Linked DNA regions of Rhinolophus ferrumequinum. The protein of the gene in region 2 interacts with the protein of the main gene of each other region in a pairwise test. Links are inferred from orthologs where the notes say so. Each region holds a gene or a part of one and is shown on either strand. Other genes may lie near its edges.

What was found. The genes of interacting proteins can lie anywhere in the genome.
Region 1: the proteins of TRIP6 (region 2) and METTL17 interact in binary tests that used the Homo sapiens proteins (3 or more experiments, as listed by UniProt). The link is inferred for Rhinolophus ferrumequinum from reciprocal best matches to the Homo sapiens genes TRIP6 and METTL17.

What each region holds. Positions count from the first base shown.
Region 1 is NC_046289.1:71,894,298-71,904,199, reverse strand, and holds the start of METTL17 (methyltransferase-like protein 17, mitochondrial), read right to left. Parts: upstream 4,579-9,902; coding exon 4,426-4,578; intron 4,279-4,425; coding exon 4,125-4,278; intron 4,037-4,124; coding exon 3,902-4,036; intron 3,027-3,901; coding exon 2,945-3,026; intron 2,687-2,944; coding exon 2,605-2,686; intron 2,295-2,604; coding exon 2,221-2,294; intron 1,773-2,220; coding exon 1,678-1,772; intron 1,315-1,677; coding exon 1,244-1,314; intron 1,054-1,243; coding exon 946-1,053; intron 686-945; coding exon 617-685; intron 1-616. UniProt on the Homo sapiens protein: Mitochondrial ribosome (mitoribosome) assembly factor. Binds at the interface of the head and body domains of the mitochondrial small ribosomal subunit (mt-SSU), occluding the mRNA channel and preventing compaction of the head domain towards the body.
Region 2 is NC_046290.1:91,071,138-91,080,959, reverse strand, and holds TRIP6 (thyroid receptor-interacting protein 6), read right to left. Parts: upstream 4,447-9,822; 5' UTR 4,122-4,446; coding exon 4,013-4,121; intron 3,752-4,012; coding exon 3,624-3,751; intron 3,533-3,623; coding exon 3,407-3,532; intron 3,121-3,406; coding exon 2,731-3,120; intron 2,411-2,730; coding exon 2,317-2,410; intron 2,206-2,316; coding exon 2,036-2,205; intron 1,581-2,035; coding exon 1,402-1,580; intron 1,141-1,401; coding exon 1,020-1,140; intron 908-1,019; coding exon 776-907; 3' UTR 637-775; downstream 1-636. Other genes in the region: SLC12A9 (solute carrier family 12 member 9), read right to left, coding at 4,973-5,862, 7,775-7,921, 8,131-8,305, 8,476-8,668, 8,810-8,934, 9,104-9,186, 9,303-9,460. UniProt on the Homo sapiens protein: Relays signals from the cell surface to the nucleus to weaken adherens junction and promote actin cytoskeleton reorganization and cell invasiveness. Involved in lysophosphatidic acid-induced cell adhesion and migration.

The sequences.
Region 1 (9,902 bases), on a different chromosome or scaffold from region 2:
ATAAGTCAATCTGTGCACTGTCAGTTGAGGACTCCTTTAAATTCAATTCTGGTATTATTAACTATGTTCTTTGAGTTAAGCTGGCTGCTTCTCTAATACTCCAAACAAAGAACTTTCTCTTTGCAGCAGGAGAAAGGCAGGAACTTGGCACATAGGATGGTGCTCTCCTTGTCAGCAACCGCCACTCTCAAACAAATCCCACTCCAGGACAACTAAATTGATGACCATACACTGGCTCATATAGCCCCAAAGAGATAAGGTTCTTGGCTCAGCGATGCCCTGGACCAGGGGTTGGCAAACTTTGTTTTGAAGGCCCTGAGAATAGGCAAAATCTGTTTCTGTCCCAACTATTCATCTCTACCGTTTGTAGTGTGAAAGCACCCATACACAAGAGACACTCAAATAAGCCTGGCTCATACGAACACAGGTGACAGGCTGGATTTGATCCACAGGCCCTAGTTTGCCAACCATTGCCCTATAGCCTAATGACTTCATAGGCCTACTACCCTGAGTCACCCTTACCATTGTATGACAGAGTCTCTTCAGTTTTCAAAGGAGTACCAGTAGTTGGTGACAGATAAGTGGGGAGGTGGGCGGAGAAGGGAAAGAACCTTACCTTAAGGACGAGGTCCCTGGCTTCCATGAGCAGGCAGTGCCCAGCTTTTGTTCCATTCTCCACCAGTATCTGTTCACAAAAGGGGAAACTGAGCAGAGGCCCTGAACTACATGAAAACATCAATGTAGCTCTGTAAGAACATTCACAGATGGAATAGTGGTCCTAAACGAAATGGTATTATATACAAGATGAGGATGGAGACCGTAAAAGAGGGACAAAGGATTCTGTGCAGGAGAAAAGAACGAAGACAAGCTCCAATGGACAGAAGGAAAGGCATGAAAACCATGAAGCTACTTTAAAACTTGAAGGGAAAAGGGGTTTCAGCTCACCAGAAAATTACTTGTCTTGCGCCACAGGGTTTGAACGACCTCAGCGCGCTCAGCCTTGCTGGGCAGTTCACTCAGGGAAAAGGCTGAGACCACCACATTGAATTGTACCTGAGGACCAAGACAGGGACACGACAGGCTCGACATCTCCCCTGCCAAGAGCATGACAGTCTAGCTCCCTAGATTTCTTCTGCTGCCTTTTCTCTTCTGACACTCACTGCTGGGTTGCAAAGCCGAGGACACACTTTTCCATCTGCCAAATTCCGCATTTAGCTGGCATACTCTACACATTGCCACTTGCCTTGGGTGATACAGGTAGAAACTGTCTGAAAAAGACACTTGGAACATAAGGTTCTCCAGATTCTGAACCACCTGTGGAGGAAAGGAGAGGTGTGGCAACTATGAGTGTATAGGTATAAACTGAGGTGATATCCTGATGAGAAACATGGCCCCGACAATAAAGGAAAATGCTAGGCGAGAGTGAGACGCAATGGGGTAAACAAACATTAAAAAGGACAGGAAGAATATTAGGTCACCTGTCCTGTTAATTTTACCCAACCCATCCATAGTCCAGCAAAGGCCTCCACCACCCTCTGCTTGACCATAATATTGGAAGGAGACCACACTCATCTTAACTTTTAGCCCACTCCTTTACTCCTGAATATAAAGTTATTTCTAGTATTACTTTGCTTTATTAACTCCTTCAACTTTGGAAAGTCCTTCCTTATAGCTCACCTTTCAGTAGCTTTTCTGCCAGATCCAACATGGCAGCCGAACTGTCCACACACATATATTCACGTATGCTCTGGCCCCAAATACTATGAGCAGCCCTAAGATGGCAAAATATAAATCAGCAGTTCTCATGACAAAAAGTCATTCTTACAAGAAATCCCTCTACCACCAACCCCACCCTGGGGAAACAAAGTGTTATATTAAAATAGTTGGAAAAACTAACAATGTTATTTTCTTATTTCATTTACAACTCCTTAAAGAAAAAAAAAGGCAGACTCAAACACTACTTGTAGACAAAAATTTTGATGATATACAAAACTTATGCCCTAAATTCCTTTCCTTTTTTATCTTTCTATACACGGTCCTTTTTCACCTGACATTTAAGTTTTGGCCTTAATTTATAAACCTTCTCATGCCTTGCCTAACCTGAGGGAAGAAACATTTTAGTTCCCAACTTTCCTATTCTTGATTCCCCAGTCTCTTGATGTTGGAGTGGTGTAAGCATGGCTCTCTAAAACTAGAATGTATAAAGAGAAAGATACTCACCAGGTGACAGACCCAGTACCCGATCCAAAGTCCATCAAGGTTTGTGGTTGGAACTCTGGAATTTGAGTCTGGATCTGAAGAAATATACAACACCCCACAGTAGGGTAAGCAGACTCTTATTTAGGGCCGTGGTAAATATGATTAGGAGACCAGGACAGAGGAGATGTGAATGTCTTTTGAGATTCAATTTAAATACTTTATAGAATAGGAAGCTCCTAAAACAGTGACTCTAAACCTTTCTTAGGTCACAAAATCCTTTCAGAGGATAAAGAGAGCCCCTTAAAAAAATGCACATGCAATGTCCCAAGAATCCTACCCCAGAAGACTACTTTATAAGGGAACCGATGGTAAAAGGGTTCAGGTTGGAAGCTGAGGGGCTTTCACCTCATGGAATGCCCTGGAGACTGCTGCAAAGCCACCATCCAGTCTTGCTGCCATATACACCAGGCTCAGTCCCTCATTGTAGCTGCCAGAAAAATCAGAGAGTCATGTCCACTGGGAAATAATCTCTATTCCATAGCTGCTTCTAGATTTTTTAGGAAATGAAATCTCTGGAAAGGGTTCTTCCATGTTATCACTTTCACACTACAACACAGGAAAAGTCCTGGGGAGCCTTAGAAACCAGGTAGCTTTTTCAAACACAAAATTGTGTAATTGTACTTCTCCAATTCTCCTTGAAAAGTCAAACTTTTCTTTCCTCTGTAACCCTTCTAGTCCCTCTTACCTCAGTTCTTGCCAATGGTAGGTAGTTTTACGCAGCGCACGCAGCACTGCTCCACGAAGTTTCTCCTCTGTCTGAGATGAGTCTGGGGTGAGAACAAGCACTGGAAGTGAGGACCTAGGATGAACAGGGCTCAGATCCAATATTTGAATTTATTGCCTGCCCATTCCGCCCCAACTCCTACCCGGGAAAAGCCTCAAAGCTTAAGGAAGCCAAACCTGGTGAGAATAACAATGACCTCCACCACTACCACTAGAGTGTATCAGACAGTAATTTGCCTCTAACAGCAGATTATTCAACTCAATTCACCCCATCCCACGGGTTTTGTTCTATACTAAAGGGAAGCGTGGTAAAGATGTACAAAATAGGATAAGGACAGTATTTTGTACATTTCCTCACTTCCCCAAAACTTAAGATTGTGCGTCTCTAATGTTCCTACACGGAGGAAAGGAACTTTAAGTCTCATGATAGCGTTCAGTTCAGTCCTATTTTATAGAGTGCCTACTATAAGCCAGGTACTGTGGGTAATACAGGGACTACAAGATGAATAACAAGCCGGGTCTGTAATATGAAGGAGCTCACAATCATGAAAATAATAACTTGACAAATTATACTTATTCTCCTGTCCCTCAAGAGGGGTTTGGCACTGGACAGGGAGCCATACAGGGGCTTTATTTCAGTTGAATAAAAACTTAGTCCTAATCCAGTGGATTTGTTAGGAAAAAAAACAAAGACCTAGATTTCAACAGGATATTAAAGCCCTCACTGACCTTCACCAAAGCCGGGAGGGCAATCTTTGGAATAATCTAGCTCCTCTTAGTAAGGCATCATTGTAATAACCGCCCAGAAAGTCAAATAAGAAACTGTAGTATCTATTTGAGAGACTAAAATTATTTCTGGCTCTTCATTTCCCATTGTTATTTCAATGTGACCTACTTTTTAGTTATTCTTAAACCCTACCTAGGTTTTCCAGGATTTTCTTCTCAAGATGCATAGCCCGCCTTTGCAATTCCTCTGGCTCTACGGGTACATGCCGGCTCCAGAGATAATTGGTCAGTGCTTGCACCTGCTTCTCCACATTGGGTATTGGATTCTCTATGGGCCAAAGATGAAAAGCGGCATCAGTTGCATGAAGGCCCAGTCTCCGCTTGCTCTCGAGCCTCCCTTTCCTACCGTTACTCACCGAGCAACAGTAACTGCGCGGTGTCAGCCAGTGCTTGAGGCAGCCGCACCCGCGGCAGCTGCCGGATGCCGGGGTGCCGGCGATGGGGCCTCTTCCCCAGAAAATCGGACTTGTTATCCACCTGGGATATGCCGGGCACAAGGGCAGCGAGAGCCTGCAAGCCGGAAAAGAAAAGCTGATTGCCGGGCAGGAAGAGAAGGTTGCGGGCGCTCGCTAAGGGAGGGGCTGCCGGGAGCGCTCCTCGGAGCAGACCCGTGTCAGAGCTCCAGTCTCTCCCAAAGCAGTGACAATAGGCACTCACCCGGGACTGCGGAGCTACACCAAGACCACGACGCCATCTGCCTAATGTGAAAAGACACCTCGGGCCGCTCCTGGTCGCCATGGCGCCGGAGGCGAACCGGAAACGGAAATGTAGATATCTGTGACCCTCAGTCTCACTCGCCCAGGCGGACATCCTCCCCGGAATGACGGCATGGGACAGTATCAGCCAATGAGGAGAGCGAGTGCATGCGAGTGGCCAATAAACAATCGATATGTAAATCACCTTGAAGTGTAAGAGTGCGTGGGTGGGACTTGGACGTCGCTGCTACAGGAACCCGCCGGAAGCGAGGTGGCCTCAAGGCTTCTTTGGGACTGGTCTCCGCATCCGAAAATTCAGGGGCGCGGGGTGATAGGGGGTGGTGGCGTGCCCTACCCTGGGTCTTTAGGAACGCACTGTAGACTGGCAGGCTGTTTTCTGGATGTGTTAACTGCCTGCGTTCCCTTGATTTTCTTTCTTTCTGGAGAACTCTGAAGTAGTGGGTTCTCTTCTCCGTTTGAAAAGGGGGAAAATGCAGTAACAGAAAGAAGAGATAAAAGCCAGATTTAGGCGACGGAAAAGAACGGAAATTAATAGATTTAATGCTTTTTATATTTTAGTTTCTCTTCATATTAAACTGGTCTTCATAGATAAATAGCTAACACACTTTCAAGTAATATCAATCCCCTCATTTAGTCCCCTCATTTCACCTCATTTAGTCCCCAGTCTTCTGAAATAGATCGTTGTTAACTCCATTTTGCAGCTGAAGAAAGCTGTCTTCAAATGGTTAAATACCACGCCCAAGATCACAAAGCTTATATGAAAACTAGACTCAAACCTAGGCAGTCTTAAGTCAGCTTCAGTTTTAAACATATGCCCTACCACATATTGTTGGTATTTTGAATGTAAGTTAGCAAATTAACAATATGCTAAATGTTATGAAGTGTTAAATTAACATGTAGAATTAGAATGAACTCACTCGATTCCTATAGCAAACACGTTAGTCAGCTATGGTGTATCTTAATCTGGTGACTGGATGGGTAAACAAACCTATGGCCTTTGCTGTAGCTGCAAGAGTCCAAGTATGTTAAGTATGGAATAAAATATGGGTAACTATATCACTTGCAGAGTTAAATATCTGGTTTGCGTTTAGGTTATTAAGCTTGATTCTAATATAGGAGGCCTTTGCTGTATAATCCAAATGCTCTGGAAGAAGACTTGAGGGTTGCTTAGGACAGCTGTTGTAAATTCCCCACTCACTGCTCTCCCTTTCAAGTTCACCACCTTCTTTCTCCCCCCGCCCCACTTTGATTCACACTGCCACACAGCCTCATCTCTGTGACACATTGCTTTTACTTTAAGTTATTGCCTCAAGTACAGTCATCCCACAGTATCTACCGGGAATTGATTCCAGGACTCCATGTGTCATGCGGGAGATCCTGCTCGCTGTGCCATGTGTCCTGTGGGGCAGCCTGCGGGGTCTCTGCTCCCGTTCCCCACATAAGAACGCAGGATGTAGCTAGGCCAAAAAGGAACATCCACGGAGCCATAGGTAGGGGAGTCATACGACTATATTCTCTCTGGCAGCTGGGCGAGACACATGCAGTAGTAGCCACATGATCTGCAGTCCACCATTCACTTCCCTGCCTGCCAACCAACCAACCAATCAATGCAGCCCTGCAGTTACATCAGTAGCTAATTGGCCAACCGGTTACAGCTGATGGCCAACCAATCACAGTTGATGGTCATTCACTATCAGAGCCATCACCTCCCCACACAAGGCGGACAGCCTGGAAACTGCTGCTCTCTGGGACTCTGTCCCCACACCGTGGATACCAAAATCTTTCCATGTTCAAATCCCTTATATAAAAATGGTATAGTATTTGCCCATAACCTAGGCACATTCTCCCTTATACTTTAAATTATCTCTAGATTACTCATAATAGCTCATACAATGTAAATGCTATGTAAATATTTACTATACCGTATTGTTTAGGGATTAAGTTTCTGGGGTTTTTTTTTGTTGTTGTTTTTAAAAATATTTTTGATTCCTGGTTGGTTGAACCCACAGATATGGAACCCATGGATATGGAGGACTGCTAGTATTAGCAAAATAAAATATTCCTGTCACTGCAGGTTAGCTGGAACATAAGATTGGCTATGTTAATTTTTTGTCATAGGGAGGTAGCAGAACATAGGGTTAAGATACTTGGCATCTGGAATCCAGCAGTCTGGATTTGAGTTCTAGAGCAGCAAGATAATAGTTGCTACCTCACAGGGTTGTTGGAGTGAGGACTTAATGAGATAGTGTTTGGCCAAAGTAAACATTCAATGTTTATGATATTATCATACGTATTATCACATGTATTTTGGGAGCTTGAAGGAACATAATCATATTTTAATTTTTATTATGAATTCATGTCTTATTTCCAAGATGGGCTTGAAACTGGGGCTACTTGGGGCCAAGTAAGATTGAGCACTGGTGACTAAGAAGTAAAGAGCAGGAGGACTTGGTGGTGCCTCTAAATATCCCTCCTGGTGTTTTGTTGTTGTTGTTGTTGTTGTTTTTAATCTAACTGCCAACATAGATGTGGCTTCCTTCATTCTGACACTGGTCTAATTGAAATTGTTCCCTTCCTTCAGTGATACATCTCAAAAGCTGACTTAGACCTAAATTTATGTCTTTGTTCTTAATCCAAAGTATTGTTCATAAAAACAAAACAAAGCAAAACTTCCATACCACTCTCCCCATGAATCGAGGATGTCCATAAAACATCTAAAACAGTGAACATGATTCTTTGTACATTGAAAGCACTTAATAAATATTTGTTGATGATGTTGATTAAGTGACCACTCTTTGTTTTCATGCTGGGAAAAGCCTAGGATAGACTAGGTTGAGGATCCAAGTCTAGTTATTTGACCAGGTCACAATCCCCTACAGCACAGATGAACCCATTTCATTCCTCATCCATGAATTCTGCATATCAACACTGGTCATACTTTGACCTGGGTAGTATTTCCAATTATTGGCTTTGCATTAAAACAAAACAAAACAAACAAAACAAACAAAGAAACAAGCAGCACAGATGTCAATGGGGAGAAACTGGACAGTATTAAAGAGAAATGCCCGATCTCCAAGTTAAGCAAAGGAAAATAAAAAAGATTCTCTAAGGAAGGTTTGGATAATTTGGTTAGAGATGGATAATGATCAACTGGTCTTCTCCACTGGGTTTATGAAAAAGGGAGGTAGCTAATAATTAGATTTAGAGAAACCCTTAACAATGAAGGTGTGAAGCAACTGGAATAAGTTTATTGGGAAATTAAAGAAATTCTGCCATAAAGGTCCTAAATAGTACCTTTAAAAAAAATCTCTTTCTTTTTGCTGTTTTTTAAAATCTTCAATTCTCTTAAGCCATCATTTGTTGTGTTCAATTGCTTCTAGATCAGTCTTTATCTTTTAAATGATTTTTATTTGTAACTTTTCCTGTGTCACATTTTTTTTCCTGAATTTTTTAAAATTTTGGTGCATATTATTCTTTCATGTCTTGGATTATTTTCTTAGCTTATTTTGAAATCATGGCTTACATTTTTAATCTGTTTTGTGGACATGTCTGTGTTAGTGTAGGTTCTCAGCGAAGCAGACATTAAAGGTGGGATTAGATTTGTAAGAGATTTATTGGGAGAAATACCTGTGAGGGGATAAGGGAGAGGAAGCCAAAAGAGGCAGGAAGAGTCAGACTGTAATGAGGGAGGGAAAGCAAATGGATTGGTAGGAACAGTTCTAGAAATGTTTCAGCCAGCCTTATGGAGACTCTTTGAGCCCAAGGTAACCATCAGAGGAGTCTTGCATCTTGTAGAAATGGGCCTGACTTAGTAGTATCACTGCTGCACTAAGTCTTTGTTTGAGAGTGGCCCATGGGAAGCATAGCAGATTCAGAGTGTGGCTGTTGGGGCCATTGGTCAATTATGATTCCCATGAGGTCTGAGGAGTGCATTTTCATAGCTTCTCTAGAGCCACACAGATCCACTTCTCCAGCTCTACTTCCTCAGATAGGTTCAAAGGACAGTTCCTTCAAGTTTTGCACAGGCTTTCACAGATTCAGCATGCCAAGAACTACAAGAAGAAAGGATATGTGTTTTATTTTGAGTAAAAACTCAAGGTTAAGTGTAAAACCTTTAGGTTCAGGATTTCAAAGTGTAGGCAATATGGAGAGAAAATATGACACACACACACTTGATTAATGCAACATTTATTTCTGTTACTTAGCTGAGCAGGGAGCAAGTGAATGTGTGAAGTAGAGAAATAGGGACACACACACACCAACTTGACAGGAACAGTCAGTGTGTCTGTGCCAGGCTGCTGCTGCTGCCTAGGGCTGATGCCCATCAGTGACCTCCACCTGCAGGATTTTCTTCCCCATTTCTGCACAAAGAAGTTGGAGTGCCCTCAAAGATTTGGGGTCTTGGTCTGCAGAAAACTTGATTCAGCTTTCCCAGTAGAAGTTCAGGGAGACTGGTGCTTTATGCTCCAGGTTCGGTGATGGGGTGGATGCTCAGGCTTTTTGCTAAAAGTCTTAGGGGGGATTGAGGATGACTGCAGCTAGGAGCCTGAGACTAGATCCTCATCAGTTCTTCCAGACTTCCTCCCCAAAACAAACAACATGTTTACATTACTCATTTTTCAGATATAAACACAAATCTACTTTTAAAATGGTTTCTCAACAACATGTTTAAAAACAAGAGTTAAATAAACATGTTTATGAGATTTTTTTTAAAGGAACAATATATTCATAATTTGACAAGGTGAGGTGAAAACACTATGTCAAAACAAACTTACTTCAGGATGAGACATCCTTTAAAAATACTTAAATCACACAAATCACAGTATGTATCCAATGTTAGCTGCCTGGCATCTCTCTGATTTGTCTCCATGTGCCTTAGAGCTATAAGCAGTTTCCTATCATGACTCAATCTTTTTTTTTATGAATAATTTTTAAAAATATTATTGGGGAATGTTGGGGAACAGTGTGTTCCTCCAGGGCCTATCATCTCCAAATCGTTGTCCTTCAATCTAGTTGTGGAGGGTGCAGCTCAGCTCCAAGTCCAGTTGCTGTTTTCAATCTTTAGTTGCAGGGGCACTGGTGCAGCCGGCAACCTTGTTGTTGAGAGCTCGTGCTCTAACCAACTGAGCCATCCGGCCACCCTTTCCGGAATCTCAGCAGCAGCTCGTCTTCAATCTAATTGTGGAGGGCACAGCTCACTGGCTCATGTGGGAATCGAACTGGGAACCCTGCTGTTCAGAGCTCGCGCTCTAACTGACTGAGCCATCCAGCCGCCCCTCATGACTCAATCTTTGCATCAACTGAGGACTACAACCTGGGCTAGTCAGATTCCTTTGAAGAAACTGAGTTTCCATTCCTGGCTCCCTATCACCAACCTAACGGAAACTTGGGTGATGGAATGTGAGTGGCTTACAGCAG
Region 2 (9,822 bases):
CAGTGAGTTGAGTATGAAGGCGTCCTAGGAAATGCTGCCTCCCTGGAGCATGCTGCTGCCTCGCTCCCAGCACTGAGAGGAGGGGTGTCATTATACCAAACTACATTGAAGAGTATACAGTCATTCCTTGGTCTCTGCAGGGATTTGGTTCCAGGATGCCTGGGGATACCAAATCCGTGGATGCCCAAATCACATATAAATGGTGTAGTATTTATATACGTACATATTTATATACGTATATCCTGTATGCTTCAAATCATCTCTGTGTTACTTATAATAAATACCTAATACAACGTAAGTGCTATACTGTACTGTTTAGGGAATAATGACAAGGAAAAAAATCTGTACCATGTTCAGTACCAAGTGCAACCATGGTAGGCCTAACTACACAGTACACGTAAGACAGATGTAACTTTTTTCCTGAGTATTTTCTATCCTCGATTGATTGAACCCAGGATAGAGAACCAACTGTACTAGAGTTGCAAATAATTGGACCAGGGCTAAGAAGACCCAGGTTCTGCCACTTGGGAACCATGCAATCTGGGGAAGTCACTTCTCAGTTAAAAATACAGTCACAACAGGTATGCTTGTGTTGACTGCTGTGAGAATCAGATGAGACAATAATAGACTCAAAAGTGTTTTGTAAACTCTTGGGAGATTATTATTTCATGATTAGAGGAAGAGAAAACAGCATTTAGTGACAAAGTTGTAAAGGTAGATGTCAGGGAAGGTGGTCGATGAGAAGGAAGAACGCAGCAGTTGCTTCTGGGAAGACTCAGCAGTCAGTGGTGACGGTGGCTGAGAGCTCCTGGATGCGCCAGGCGCTACAGGCCTTGCACAAGATGTGCCCATCCAGCGGATAACAGCCCTGACACTCACCCTCAGAGGAGAGCAGCAGCCCACACTCCTATTAGGAAAAAAGCAACAGCTTTCCATCAGGCCCAAACCCCTGGTTTCTACCATACCCAATATCCCCAGACCCCAATAACCCCAATAACCCCTTGCCCAGACCCCCTGACCTCGCACTTGTAACAGCCGATGTGAAAACTGCGATCCAGAGCAACAATTCGCACGGTCTCCTCCTGACCTGGCTCAGGCATGATGGCCCCACCACACACTGAGCATCGTGGAGCGAACTTCCTGGTGTAGAAGGGAACCAAGGAGGGTGTCAAGCCCCAGGTGTGGAGGGGACTGACGGTAGAGCCCAGAGAAGATGAGATGCGGAAGGGAACAGAAGAGCCCAGAGGTATGGTCTTGGATTTGGGGGAAGAGTGATGTTAACGAGAACAAGGCATGGCAAGGGTGAGAAACAGGAGAGGCTGGTACTGGGACAGGAAGAAGAAATGAGGAAGACAGGAAAGGCCAGACATCCTGAGCCAAAGGTGGGGGACCCAGCCTGACCTGTGGAAGTCCTCAATGCAGTGGATCTGGCTGGTGGCATCCACCGTGAAAGGGATGCCATCGAGGCCACGATGGCACACCACACAAGTGAAGCAGCCAGGGTGATAGGCCTTCCCCATAGCCCGCAGGATCCGGTCCAGGATAGGCTGAGAACATGTGGAGCACTTCTCCAAGGTGGCCTGTTGGGAAGGAGGTCAGAAAGGTCGGGGGCTGGGGAGGCCCACAGCAGCCCTACAGGCATCCTGCCACCCCACCCATCTGTTTATGGAGCCCCCTGCATATGATTTAGTGAAAGGTGGCCTTGTGCAGATCTGAGTGCAAATTCCAGCACTGCAGCTTCCTGAACAAGTTATTTGACTTCTCTGAGCTTCAATTTCCTTCAGTAGTAATATCTGCCTCACAGCATGTTGTGGGAATTTAACACTCTTTTAACTCCAAACTAAAAGCCTCACATTTGTAAGGGGCTGTTGTCCTTCCCCCAGCAGCCGGTGTTTAGCTACCTAATTCCTCCCTTCTTGTTTTAGTCCCCCAACTTTGAGCGCTCTTCCTCTTTGGGATTTGGACATCTTTCCCACCTTAGATGGAAGCCCCTTGCCTCCTCTGCTGATTCCAGCCTCCAGCCCCACCCACTCACCACATAGCAGCTCTCACAATATGCCCTCCTCTCCACGGCATAGAAATGTTGGCCCCGAAGCTGGGCCTGGCACGTAGAACACACAAAGCAGCTAACATGAAAGATGCGGTCCAGGGCCACAACCCCGGCCCCATCCCCAACCACATCTTCTCCGCAGCCACCACACCGGCCTGGGGACAGGGAGGGACAGGGTCAACCTGCATAGGCCAGGAAGCCAGGTCTGCTATCCCTCTGTCTCTCCAGCCCCCCACCCTTTCCACCCACCCTCAGACTTAGCTCACCAAAGTACTCCCCACTGGGCGGGTGGCTCATGTCGTGCACCAGCTTCTTGGTCAGCCTCTCGAGCTCCTCCTCGGGAGGCTGGCTCAGGGAGACCTGGGAGATGAGAATCAGAGGTTCAGCCCTACCTCTAGCTCTCGATGCTGTCAAAACACCTGAGGGTGACCAGGCAATTCCACCCAAAAAAGCTCTCGCTGAAGAACATGTCATCCCAGGGCCCAGGGACATGTCTCGAGCTAGTGTGCCACTCCAGCCCCCTACCTCCTACTTTTCCTGACCTGCCCCACATCCCCAGAGGGGTCCAGAGCTCTGGCACCCCAGACATCTGACAACCAGGCCTTAAATATCACTCCCATCCCACCCAATCAGTGTCCAATTGTCTGTGAGGACCCCAAATCTCAGTGCCTGGGGCTTACCTGGGGCCCATACCTGCCTCCTCTTCCTCCTCCTGCAGGGATGGAGACCCCAGCAGCCTCCTCTTTACCCCCGGGCCCTGGCTCTCGGTGGCTCCTATAGCCAGCCCCCCAGACTTCACTTCGGCCTGGGAGAGGAAAGTGGGGGCCCAGAAGGGGCCCAGAGGCCTGAGAGGCCCCCCGCCTGGGGGGGCCACAGCCTCTCACTGGTTGTGCCACCTTCACTTGCACAGGGAAGGCAGGGCCAGCGGGAGTGCTGGCTGTAGCATAGGAGGCTGGAGTGGGGCCCCCATAGGGGGACACTGGGAGCAGTGGGGGAGGAACACCACCTCCATTTGACTTCAGGGAGCCCAAGCCAGGGCGGTAGGCAGGGGGCTGAGGGGGCTCGTAAGCCTGGGGAGAAATGCAGAGGAAAAGGAGTGAGGTGGCCCATTACAGGACACACACCTGTGAACACCCCAGCCCCACCCCATGTGTGTGGCCACCAGGTAAGGGCTGGTTTCTGACAAAGGCCCACCCTGGAGAAGCTGACAACCCAGAAGTTCTGGTGGCCCAGCTCCTTCCATGCTGGTGTGTGGCATCACTTACACAGAGGGGGAGGTGAAGTGGGAGTAGGCTGAGTGGACAGAGAAGGGACAGGGCTAAGAAAAGGGGGGCAGGGGCAGGACAGGGGGGTCACCTGCCGGTCAGGCCTCCGAGGAGCATGACCACGACCCCCATCCAGCTCAGCCAGCATGCTAGTCAGAGAATCTATCTCAGCATCCAGACTTCCTGGGCGCTGGCCCCCCCTGTCTGGGGGGGGGCCCTAGGGATAGAGCAAAAGCAGGGAGAATGCAAATCACATGGCCTCCTCTCCCGCCCTGAATGCCCCCCAACCCCCCAATCCCAGTTCTCACCTGCGAACGCTGGGGTGTTCCATGGCAACCCACCCAGGCTGGCCCCAGATCCTCGGGCCCCCCAGGGACCTGGTAACACTGCTCAGATGGGAGGGGGCAAAAATTGACCCTGGGGTGGGGCTGAAGTGCTGGGGTGAGGGAAGAGAGTGAAGGTGGGGATGGGGAAGGAGACAAGGGTGACACTTGTGGAGGACCCTCTCAGGTCCTTTTCTCCCCTTCCCCCCAGATCCTGGGGTCTGAGAATGTGGCAGGAGGCAGGGAGGGCCGAGAAAGGGCAGGGGCAGCTGATTTCCAGCCTGGCTTCGGGGAAGGGGCGGCAGGGGAAAGCTCGGCGGGAGGCAGGGGCCCGCTGGCGGGTGGCTTCCTCCATCGCACAGGGGTTGCCTTACCTGCTCCGTGAGCTGGCGGCGGCCCCAGGGCGCCTCGGGGGAGAGCTCGCCCCAGAGAGGCTCTGGCGGGCTCTGGCTGCTTCGGGGGGAGCCAGGTGGGCCCCGACATGGCCTAGAATGGGCGTCTCCAGACAGCGCGTTCAGGGTCCCACGGAGCCCGAAGCCTCTGGACTTGACCCTTTCTTCGGTCGCTCACCTCGTTTGGGACTCCAGGAAAGAAACTTTTTCTGGCTTTTTTTCCCCTTCCTCCCTAATTTGGGGGACGGCCACGCCCCCGTGACGTCACCGCATTCCTGGGGGAGGGTCACGTGGCCCCCTAGGCCCTAAACCGCGTTCTTCCCCGGAGTCGGCCCCCTCCTGCCCAACAAGGAGGGCTTTCCACGGGAGCCCGTCTGAGGGGCCGTGGGCAGCTTCCATTTCCACGAGTCCCCCCAGGTCCGCTCCCCAAGTCCTGCACGTGGCCACCTCGCCTCTGGGACATTCCAGTGCTCCTCTTTCCCAGGTTCCCCTTATACAGATGTCTCCCTTTTCCAGTCCCACCTATCCCATCAGTAGTGTTCAGCCAGCAGTAGTGTTTTGGTCGTTTATTGACATTCAGCAGTTAGAAAAATAAAACAACAAAAACGTCACAACCTCACTGGTCAGTGAGTCTGTTGGGCAAAGGGAGACTGAGGTAGCCTAGACTCACAAGCGGAGACCCAGCCCCCATGAAGGCACCAATTAAGGGAGGGAGGGGGCAGGGCTGACTCCCTCTCCTTTGTGGCAGGGATAGCTTCCCAGCATTAGTGCACCAGGACCCCTCTCCCAAAGACAGAGAGATGCCCCAGCCCAGGATCCCCTAATACCTCTACCTGGCTCTGTGTCCCACATGCAGGGCAGGCCCAAGGTGGCCCTTCCCCTCCTCATCCACTAATCAAAGTGGGCCACCAGACCTGGACACTCCACTTCAGGAATGGAGCATCAGAGATCAGTGCAAGTGACAGGGGTGACACCATGAATGAGCAGTGTGGGACCCAGATCTCGGCTCAGAATCTCCAGAAGTGCCAGGTAGCGAGGGTAGCGCGCAGGATCAGCAGGTGGCCGAGGCAGGTATAGGAAGGTGAGGGCAGTGGTGGGCCCCTCCCTGCCATCCCCACTCTCAGGCCCCCCAGGCACTCCTCCTCTGCCTCGCCCCTGCTGGGCCCGAACCAGGGCGTTGGCGCTGCATGCCAGGGCCTCTGCCTCAGCGTCTCCTCGCCTGCCGTTCACAAAGTCCCCTTCCTCCTCCTCCTCAGGCTCTCCGGAACCAGCCCCATCGCCCCACACCACCTCCTGCACCTCAGCCCGGATCCTCAACTGGCTCAGCAGGGCTCGGAGTCGCCCCTCGGCCGCCCCTGGGGCCTCTCGAGGCCCCAGGCACAAGAAGATCCGTAGCCTGGCACTGTGCCAAGCAGGCACCATGCCCAAGATGGTTGCCATCTGCAGCAGGAAGAGACCGCAGACGTCCACATAGCCAGGCCCACCCCGGGGCCGCAGAAGGTTGAGGGGCCACACATCCACGTGATGGGGCTGAGAGGTGCCCCCAGACGCCCGGCTTAGCCGCTCAGGGGGCAGGGCCCCACAGGCTCTCGCCAGAACCACGTTCTTGTTCATCTTGAGGGCGTCCGCTACCGTGGCCACGTAGTCCTGGGGACTGAGAGCCCGGGGACTCCCAGGAGCCCGGGGTGGAGGGAACAGGGTGCTCAGGGCTGGGGACCCACCCTCCTGGGTGCCATCAGCAGGCTCAGAGAAAGCCGGGTCTGTCAGGAAGTGGTCCTGAGGTGCAGCATCATCGTAGAAACCCAGGACCAACGTGTTCGGCTTCATGCCACCTGGGGACAGAGAAGGGGAGGTGGGAAGGAACCGACAGGAATCAGACTCACCAGCTGAGTTTTCACCATGCGATACACATCCACTCGTACACACTGATGGCAACATTGGATATGACATTCATTCCACTGTGCTTGGGCTCTTAGGACAACATTATGCATGTTTGCATGATGACTTTTAGTTTTCCCACATTTGCATGCATTTATTTGACTTATCTCCATGACTAATCTTCCCTGTTTAAATAGGCAAAGCAAGTTCACCTTAAGATTCTTTTAACTAATGAGCACTTTTGGTGGCAGTAGGATGCCTTCAATCCAAGCTTCTAGCAGCACATCTTTTTCATGATGGGAGTCTGACTCCACTGGGTAGACCAGACCCCCTAATTAGTCAAGCTCATGGCCTCAATATCCAGGGAAACAGCACCCAGACCTTGCTGGGGGAGGATGAGAACTCAGGGCCGGGGCTGTGCAATCTCTTTCCCTAATGACGGCATGTCCAAAGCACGACGCCCAGAGATCAGACAGCTAACATCTATCTGCACACTAACCAGGGGCCACGTCCTATTGAAAGCACTTCATGTTTTAACTCATCTGATCCTTGAAGCAACACCATGAGGTAGGGACTATTTACTCACTCCCTTTTACAGATAAGGAAACTGAGGCCCAGAGCAGTGAAGTCACCTGCCCAAAGGCTCATGGATGGTAAATACTGGGGCGGCAGGTGAACACAATGTACCCAGCACTCCAGCCCATTCTCTGAGCCTCTGAGTTTGTATGTGTACCAATCACAACGCCCCAAGTCCCTGCCAACAGTTCCTGGTTTTTAAGTTTTTGAACAACCAATATGGAATTGGATAATTTCTCCACCCCCTCAAGAGGGGAGACTATGGAGGAAGACTCTGAGACCTCTCCTTAGACCCTTTCTCTTGAAACAAATGGGTTACCAGGAGAATTTACTATTTAAAGGAAATCTCTTTCCTTTTATTTGAATCATTTTCCACAGAATAAATTGCATGAAAGTAGTGGTCTCTTGGCATAGGTTTCCCCACAAAATGTGGGGCTGTGGAGAGACCAGGCCCTCAGCTGCTCCAGGGTCTATCTCATAATGCTTGACAACATCCAAAAACACCTTGGAACTCTAGCTGTTCTTGCAAATTAAACTAATCACACCCCCTCCTGAGCATTTTCCAGGGTTCTCATTTACACCAAATAGGGCAATGTCCAACACTTGATCTTTACCCTGATTCTAAGTGGAGAAGGAAGCATACACTCAGAGAGAGGGCAGACACCTGTACCGGGATTAAGAAAGAAGGAGGTGGCTGAGCAAAGATTTGGAGGAAGCTGGGGTGCAAGACCGGAGGCCTCAGCACTAAGACAGTCACAAAGCTGGGCATCTTCCATTCCACCCAAAAGCATCAGCCTCATACACCCTCTGCATCTCTGCGGTCTCTGGGGGCCATGTTACACCACTCCCTACTTCTCAGCCCCTTTCAAGGCCCAGCTGAAAGATCATCTCATCACAATACTTTTGCTGGCTATATCAGTGCATAGTGGTCTTCCTTTCTCGGAACTTGAGTGGTTAGAAACCATCTGTCACAGATTTGATGGGGCGGCCCCTGGCCTCAAATAATTCTCCCATTATCCCCAGAAATACAACATACTCTTTGGAATCTGTGCCCCAATTTTTGGATCAGAAAAAAATAAGTGTCACCCCATCTCTAGTCCTTAAACATCTCTTCCGAGACCTGACCACACACTGTTATCTTTGAGTGCTATGTCTTATCTGCACTAAACTGAGGGTTTGGAGTTTGTAATCTGCGGTCTAGTCTCTTGGGTGGTGGTGGGGTCACGGGTATAGCAGAGACTGACAAGAGCCACAAAGGAGGCAGAGGGGACCCAGAGAGGAGCAGCTTACCAAGACCCGAGATCCGCAGCAGATGCTGAGCCCCCTGACGCACAGAGGGTGAGAGGGTGAGGTCCACGAAGGCTTTCACTTGGGCCCGGTCCACGAGGCTCAGCCATGCCCCATACTGTGGCTGCACAGGGTCTGAGGGCAGGCAATCTGCAGAGAAGGAAAGCAGCAAATATGGGCCAAACTCATGGACTTTGTCCTAGAGTCCAAATCCCCAATGGGCAGAAGAAAAAGGTCTGGGAGGACTGTGTGCTGGTTGTTTAAGGTTCATCTGGGAAGAAGCATGAATCCTCTGGGACATAAAGAACACCAAGAGCTTCTGAGACCGACAGGGAAAGGAGGAATGGAGGGCAACTCACCAAGGTCTCCCAGGGTGACATGACCCAGCACATAGAGGCCCCCCTTCTTGAGCTGGTTGGCCAACCTCAGCAGGGGCAGGGCACCCCGGGGGTTCCCCACCAGCAGCAGCAGCTGGGGCCGCCAGAACTTCACGTGCTCCTTCCGGACGTCCAGCCGGAGCAGGTATTTACGCACCTGGGGACAGGGTAAGGTGGTGGGGAGGAAGGGCTTAAGTGGGCAGTCCCCACTCAACACATCTCAGACAGGAACCCTAACTCTAGCCAAGAGAAAAAGAGGCCTCCTTGTAGGGTAGGTTTTCCCAGACTGCCTCCTCCCCTTCCCACCCTCCTCCAAGCTCCCCTGACCTGGTGGAAAAGCAAGGCCTGGCTGACATAGCCCCAGCTGCTGGGGCCGCCTCGAGCAGTGAGCAGGGCAGAAAGCAGGCCCATGAGCAGCAAGGAGCCGCCAGCAGCCCCGGGGCTGATGAGAAACATCATGAGCAGGCAGGAGGCCACCCCCAGCAAGCAGGTGTGCCAGGAGAACAGACTGAAGGTGGGGCTGTAGGTAGACAGAAGGAAGGACACTCAGGACCGGCTGAACACTAGGCCACCCCACTCCAATCCCAGCCTCCCCACCTTGGTCTGAGTTCCTCCCATTCCTCCCTCTTTTTCTGGGGACATGGGCATCTTATTCTCTCACCGGAAGTTGGGGGCTGAGGCCCACTCCAGGCTCAGGCAGGACAGGTCCACCGCAGCATAGGCCACCAAATAGAAGACGGTGACCACTGCAGCCAGTGTGTTCAGCTTCCCAGCCAGAAGCACCAGCTGGACAAGGACCAAGAGGCTGGACATTGAGCCAACCCCCCACCAAATGCCAATGCATCCTGCCTTTCATTCACATCTCTCACCCAGAGCCTAAGCGCTCCTGATCCTGCGAGCGTAATCAGGAGGGGCTTAGGGTGAGGGGAAGGGCAGCTTAAAGAGGAAGGCTTACCTGTACTAGGCCCCATGAATAGAGCACGGCCCCCCAAGGGTTACCCCCTCGGGACACAACCTTGGCTGGTGCCAAGATCACTCCTGTGCAAACAGAAATACAACAGACCCATCAGCCTGGGTCTGTTGGGTCTGAACGGAGACTGAGAGACACGGGAGGGCACGCTCAGAGCCCGGCACGGAGGCAGGGGACAGTGTACCAAAGAGGTCGTCCTGGGCCAGGGCGTGAAGGATGCGGGAAGCACCGATGAGGGAGCTCATGGAGGCTGAGAGCGCTGTGGCATAGATACCGATCAACACCAGTGGGGGCCATAGGCTGATGGCGCGAAAGAACCCATAGTCCTCTTGCAGCAGGGTCCTACAGGGAGGGAAAGAGGAGGACACGGAAAAAAATGTGCAGCCATCCAGGGGTCCTTGTGAGAACAGCACTCATAACACTGTGTGAGGTTAAGAGCTATGCATTTTCAACTAACCCCAACCCCCATCTCAAGGACCACAGTAATAGATCAAGTGTGCCGGGGGGTAGACTTGGCATTCATTGGTTATCATTGGACTGCTTTGGGTTTAATCATGTGATGGACATTCCCAACAGTATACACACAAGGAGCCAACTGTTTATGGAAATTGACTAGGAAGCCATTCCCTACCCCACCCCCAAAGCAAGTACTTACAACCGTACCAGGCACGTGGCAAATGCTGGCTGCAAGCTATCTATTACCA